Linked DNA regions of Saccharomyces cerevisiae S288C. The protein of the gene in region 2 purifies or fractionates together with the protein of the main gene of each other region. This does not show direct contact. Each region holds a gene or a part of one and is shown on either strand. Other genes may lie near its edges.

What was found. The genes of interacting proteins can lie anywhere in the genome.
Region 1: the proteins of SIT4 (region 2) and ACC1 purify together in Saccharomyces cerevisiae (affinity purification with mass spectrometry; 4 studies listed by BioGRID). This does not show direct contact.

The regions. Positions count from the first base shown.
Region 1 is NC_001146.8:659,737-663,494, reverse strand, and holds the start of ACC1 (acetyl-CoA carboxylase ACC1), read left to right. Parts: upstream 1-2,120; coding exon 2,121-3,758. Other genes in the region: protein transporter TIM23, read right to left, coding at 1-582. UniProt on the Saccharomyces cerevisiae protein: Carries out three functions: biotin carboxyl carrier protein, biotin carboxylase and carboxyltransferase. Involved in the synthesis of very-long-chain fatty acid synthesis which is required to maintain a functional nuclear envelope.
Region 2 is NC_001136.10:368,076-371,206, reverse strand, and holds SIT4 (type 2A-related serine/threonine-protein phosphatase SIT4), read right to left. Parts: upstream 1,437-3,131; coding exon 501-1,436; downstream 1-500. Other genes in the region: STP4 (Stp4p), read left to right, coding at 2,996-3,131. UniProt on the Saccharomyces cerevisiae protein: Involved in the dephosphorylation of the large subunit of RNA polymerase II. Is required in late G1 for normal G1 cyclin expression, bud initiation and expression of certain genes that are periodically expressed during late G1.

The DNA.
Region 1 (3,758 bases), on a different chromosome or scaffold from region 2:
ACCTTTTGAAGACTTGAACAAAGCGCCCGTGAGGGCCCCAGCGCCAATGGAGCCCGCGGTGTCATGTTTGCCTCTTAGTGCATCTATTGTAGAATTGATGATATTGTAGCTCAACGCGAGAATCCCCGCATTATTACCTAAGAAGGGACCTCTCTTAGTAATGTGATTCAGGACGGTGTTCAATTGCAATTTTCCGGGACTATTGGGCGGAATATTCTGCAGACCCTGCATCATACCAGAAAACCCTCCGATACCAAGTCCCAGCAGGTAGACGGCACCGGTACCGTAACATAGGTCATCGGTCCACCCACGGGAAGGGATCAGACCCTGTGAGCCTTCTAACGAGGATAGTTGTTCTTCTTCCAGATCTAAATACTCCACACCCTTGTCTAGACCAGCCAAAGGATGCAGCCTAGCGGTGTCGACATGCATTCCACCAGGACCTGATATTATGTTATTGATGTTTGGCTCGAAACCTAAACTCTGCTTCAACGATAGTTCCTTAGGCTTGGTTGTATCTTGGCCGCCCACGGCAGCATTCGCATCATCGGTAGGTGTCTTATCTCCAAAAAGCCACGACATGATTGTGTGTGATCTGTTAAACAAGTATACCTATATTATCTTGGTTATTTTTTTTTTTTCTATCTGCTTTTGTTAACGCTATAACGTGTAGTATGTACAGGCAAAGAGAGTAGAAGAGGAAAATGGTCTTTTTTTTTTTTTTTTCTGCAATGGAGGGCGAATGCAATAACCTATTATTTCTATTAATTAAACGCAACAAATGTTTCCCTTTTGCTCTACGTAAAGGTTCCTTTCTCTCTTTTTTTTGTCGGTGTCTTTTTTTTTTCAGTATTTTCTCTTTTTTTCAATGAATCGTCGATTTCCTTTTCTTCCTTTTGCGATTAAATTATTTTTACCCAGCTTTAGCAAGCCAGTTCGTACGCAGCGACTAGCAAACAGCCGGGTAACTCACATTTTGTTTGCACACTTAAAATACCCATACAGAACCATTATATATGTTGGGTTGAATTGGGACCTAATGTGCTGCTCAGGTGCCGCGTATATCATGACACTTATACTTGGTGGGGAATCGCCCGTCAGGCCTGAACGCAACGAACCCGCGCATGCATCGACGTCACAGTGAGCTCAGGCCGCATCACGGCCGTTACGCCCTCCAGAGTCACCACGACTGCGACTAGTATCATCCGTCAAGAAGAACAAGAACAAGAACAAGAACAAGAACAACAAACTCCGGGCACATCTCTCGGCTTCAGTCGCTTTCGCTCATTGCCTGTAGGTTGGCCCGATATGCGTTGACGTTATCCAAAGGGGAATGCTTCATCTTGTTGAACAACGCCCAACAATTTCCACTGCCCACCGAATCGTTGCGCCCGTTAAAATCTTCACATGGCCCGGCCGCGCGCGCGTTGTGCCAACAAGTCGCAGTCGAAATTCAACCGCTCATTGCCACTCTCTCTACTGCTTGGTGAACTAGGCTATACGCTCAATCAGCGCCAAGATATATAAGAAGAACAGCACTCCCAGTCGTATTCTGGCACAGTATAGCCTAGCACAATCACTGTCACAATTGTTATCGGTTCTACAATTGTTCTGCTCTCTTCAATTTTCCTTTCCTTATTCTACTCTTTTTATCCCTTTCGTACAGTTTACCTGAAGATAAAAAACAACAAAGCCAATTCCCTAATTTGCAATCGCCATTTGCATCTATATATATATATTTGTTGTGCCATTTTTTTATCCTCTGTGAGTGATCGGTGCATGTGTTTATAAAAGTTTATTCATTCTACTATACGAACTTTTCCCTCTGCCCTTCCCTCCCGCTTCATCCTTATTTTTGGACAATAAACTAGAGAACAATTTGAACTTGAATTGGAATTCAGATTCAGAGCAAGAGACAAGAAACTTCCCTTTTTCTTCTCCACATATTATTATTTATTCGTGTATTTTCTTTTAACGATACGATACGATACGACACGATACGATACGACACGCTACTATACTATACAAATATAATAGTATAATAACCGATTCGTCTTCTAGCTTAATTTTTTTCCGTTCCCGAAACAGCGCAGAAAATTAGAAAAAATCAAGTTTCTACCATGAGCGAAGAAAGCTTATTCGAGTCTTCTCCACAGAAGATGGAGTACGAAATTACAAACTACTCAGAAAGACATACAGAACTTCCAGGTCATTTCATTGGCCTCAATACAGTAGATAAACTAGAGGAGTCCCCGTTAAGGGACTTTGTTAAGAGTCACGGTGGTCACACGGTCATATCCAAGATCCTGATAGCAAATAATGGTATTGCCGCCGTGAAAGAAATTAGATCCGTCAGAAAATGGGCATACGAGACGTTCGGCGATGACAGAACCGTCCAATTCGTCGCCATGGCCACCCCAGAAGATCTGGAGGCCAACGCAGAATATATCCGTATGGCCGATCAATACATTGAAGTGCCAGGTGGTACTAATAATAACAACTACGCTAACGTAGACTTGATCGTAGACATCGCCGAAAGAGCAGACGTAGACGCCGTATGGGCTGGCTGGGGTCACGCCTCCGAGAATCCACTATTGCCTGAAAAATTGTCCCAGTCTAAGAGGAAAGTCATCTTTATTGGGCCTCCAGGTAACGCCATGAGGTCTTTAGGTGATAAAATCTCCTCTACCATTGTCGCTCAAAGTGCTAAAGTCCCATGTATTCCATGGTCTGGTACCGGTGTTGACACCGTTCACGTGGACGAGAAAACCGGTCTGGTCTCTGTCGACGATGACATCTATCAAAAGGGTTGTTGTACCTCTCCTGAAGATGGTTTACAAAAGGCCAAGCGTATTGGTTTTCCTGTCATGATTAAGGCATCCGAAGGTGGTGGTGGTAAAGGTATCAGACAAGTTGAACGTGAAGAAGATTTCATCGCTTTATACCACCAGGCAGCCAACGAAATTCCAGGCTCCCCCATTTTCATCATGAAGTTGGCCGGTAGAGCGCGTCACTTGGAAGTTCAACTGCTAGCAGATCAGTACGGTACAAATATTTCCTTGTTCGGTAGAGACTGTTCCGTTCAGAGACGTCATCAAAAAATTATCGAAGAAGCACCAGTTACAATTGCCAAGGCTGAAACATTTCACGAGATGGAAAAGGCTGCCGTCAGACTGGGGAAACTAGTCGGTTATGTCTCTGCCGGTACCGTGGAGTATCTATATTCTCATGATGATGGAAAATTCTACTTTTTAGAATTGAACCCAAGATTACAAGTCGAGCATCCAACAACGGAAATGGTCTCCGGTGTTAACTTACCTGCAGCTCAATTACAAATCGCTATGGGTATCCCTATGCATAGAATAAGTGACATTAGAACTTTATATGGTATGAATCCTCATTCTGCCTCAGAAATCGATTTCGAATTCAAAACTCAAGATGCCACCAAGAAACAAAGAAGACCTATTCCAAAGGGTCATTGTACCGCTTGTCGTATCACATCAGAAGATCCAAACGATGGATTCAAGCCATCGGGTGGTACTTTGCATGAACTAAACTTCCGTTCTTCCTCTAATGTTTGGGGTTACTTCTCCGTGGGTAACAATGGTAATATTCACTCCTTTTCGGACTCTCAGTTCGGCCATATTTTTGCTTTTGGTGAAAATAGACAAGCTTCCAGGAAACACATGGTTGTTGCCCTGAAGGAATTGTCCATTAGGGGTGATTTCAGAACTACTGTGGAATACTTGATCAAACTT
Region 2 (3,131 bases):
TTAATATGGTTATGCTTTTCTGCCTTGGCGAATCAGCTCTTTAAGTAGCGCCAGTCTTTTATATTTCCCCTCCCGAGTGTTGATTAAAGTTTTTTTATTATCAGGGATTCCACCCTCTTTCAATAGATCCAAACCGTGGGAGGTGACGTTTCGGCACGATGAACGTAATAATTATTGTGATAATAATATAATGTAATATAACATAGTAGTATTATATATATATATATATATATATATAAATAGGAAAGAAAGGACAAGGACAAAAAGGAAAAGAAAACTGCAATTGTTGAATATGTAGTTACTAGTTCTCATTCCTTCTTTTTTTTTTTAATTTTTTATTTGGTCATTTTGACCATAGTAAATGGAATGCTCTTAGAATGTGCTTGTTGTGTATCGTATCGTAGCAAATGGCGTAATGAAAAAGTTTCTGATTTTTGTAGTCTTTTTTTTATTGTGAAAATTATTTTTATTCGTCGAGTTAGGGAGGGCATGCCGTCGTGTTATAAGAAATAGCCGGCTCTTTGATTATTATGGTTTGCCGTGGATTCTCTTATGTAGTCATCGGGAACAGCCGAGAAAATTTTGAAAGTAGGTTCCAGATCCTCATCGACCTTCATTACACTCGCGACATTACCACATCTATAACAGTAATTTGGCGCGGACCACACGGTTACAACGTCCTTTTCAGGAAAATGGTACTTGAACCCCTCCATAACCAGTTGGTGAGCCCGGGCAATAAGGTTCAGTCCATTAACGTGGTTAAACTCTCTAGCAACTTTACTGCCAAAGAGCCATCCTGCACCACGAGGGGAAACTTGCCAAGCCTCTACATTGTCAGGGTCTGACCAAAGCAGGTCCGAGAACCCACCCTCGTGTGGCACTTCTTGAGCTCTTGACAAGACTCTGATTTGATCGAGCATTCTAATCTCGGGAGATAACCCTCCATGGACACATAAGATCTTACCGTCAATTATAGCGGCCAGCGTCAGGAAATCAAAAACTTGACAGCAATACTTCCATACGGTGGTAGATCCGTACTTATTCAGGCATTCCTCGTAGAACCCGTAAACTTGAGTAATTTGTCTGGACTCATGGTTTCCTCTGACCAAAGTTATCTTTGCCGGGTACTTGACTTTCAGACACATTAAAAGCGTAAAAGTTTCCAGACTATAGTAGCCACGATCCACGTAATCACCGAGAAAAATGTAGTTTATATCGTCAGGAAAGCCACCCGCCGTACGGAATAGCTCTAACAAGTCATGAAATTGGCCGTGTATGTCTCCACATACAGTAACGGGGGTCTGTACCGGCTGGATGTTACTTTCCTCCATCAAAAGTTCTTTCACCATTTCACACAGTTGTTTCATCTCGTTTTCAGTTAGCGCCTGGCATTTCTTTATTGTTTCAAGCCATTCGTCGGGGCCTCTAGATACCATTGTTATTGTTCCTTTTATTATGGATGTTTTTGAGCTTCAATAGTATTTCACCTTGTAATGTCGAATCTAAAAAGAGCGAGGAGGGGACTGAAGAATAATAGGAAGAGAAAGAGGGACCGTATGTGCAGAACTCCTTTATCTGTATGCTTATGATAGTATGCAATAACCTATTGTATTGCTTCTTTTTCTTTTTTATCTACCGTCTGTAGCTCTTCAATGCTCCATTACGTTGTGTGCGAGCATCACTGGGTTTCCACTGAAGGCTATATTTTTTTTAATTTTGCTGGGCTTCGACTCGATATGCATGTTTTTTTTTTACCGCTCCATGAGCGAAGAGAGAAAGAGAGCGAGAGCGAAAGAAAAAATACAGCGGACTTGACTAGACTTATTACCCGCAGAAAGATGGATATCACTTAACACGGAAGTATCGCTCGCGCCGCTTCATGTTACCCGCGGCTGTGTTATTCCCCCTTTTTCTTTCTTTTTCTTTTTTTTTTTTTTTTTTTTTTTTGGATTTCTTTTAATTTCATTCTTTTCATCTCTCCTGCGTCGCCTTACACTTCATGGTTACCAATAGCGTGGCCTTCCTTTTTTTTTTTCCGGGAACCGCCGCGGCTTTGCAATTTGCTTGTTAGTCAAACCCCGCGGTAGTTAAAATCAGTGACAAGAGCAGAAAAAACACCACACGCAATGGCCGCATATGAGGCAAATGGTGGGGAGGCACGACGTGGCCGCACAGGGGAAGGGGAGCCCACATTTGCGTTATTTTTTTTCCTCCGGCTGCTTTTTAGCCTTCTACGCGCGGGACGGCTTGCGCGCGTTCTCGGAACTTCTAATTAGTCCGGGGGGAATCAAGTTCCGGGCCGACACTTACACGAGCACATTGAGGAAAATAAAATCCGGGAATGTCTTGCCGGATATGACCTGAATTGGGAATCCCGGATTTTTTTTACTACTTCTTTCGTTGGCCTCATTCGAGTCTTTGAATAGAAAAAGAACAGATCTCAAATAGCCGCATTGATTCTCGCTTGGCTGCCACACAATTTGGTAGTGGCTGTCGGAAACCCCCCATGCGCTTATTGCTAGATTGGTCTTTTCCTTCCCTTACGGCCCGTGGCTAACTCTCAAGGATATCTCTAGATTGTCACTTCCTAGGGGCATTGTTAGTGGTATGGTTACTTAAACCTATTTTATGTACGTAATGCTCTCCTCGCTGTTTTACTCTTCCCTTTTCCAATTTTTTTTCTTCGTTTCCTTTTGTTTTCTACTACTGATAGCTCCCATCCGCAGAGGAACAGAGGGCGAAAAAAAAAGCACCATTTCTTAAAAGTTAAAGCTGCATCAGTGCGTTCTTTATTCTGTCTATTTCTCAAAAGCGCATATTTCCGTCTTTATACATTTATATATATATTCTAAGTGGAGCTGGAAAAAACATGGAAGTAAATTCGGTGCCCTATGATTAGGATATCTAATTCTTGTCAGTTGCTTTTCTTGGTTTGCAGTAGCTGTAACACTGGAGCGCTTGGAATATTTGTTACTTCTTTTCTTTGGCTTCCCCTATGCTGGTATCATCATCTTTTGCATCAAGCATTGACTCAGTAATGTCCCATGAGACGATGTCTTTACGGAGAAACCCTCCCTTTATAGATACTCCAGAAAAAATGCCAAACCCAACGGCTTCTCCCAATGGCACCA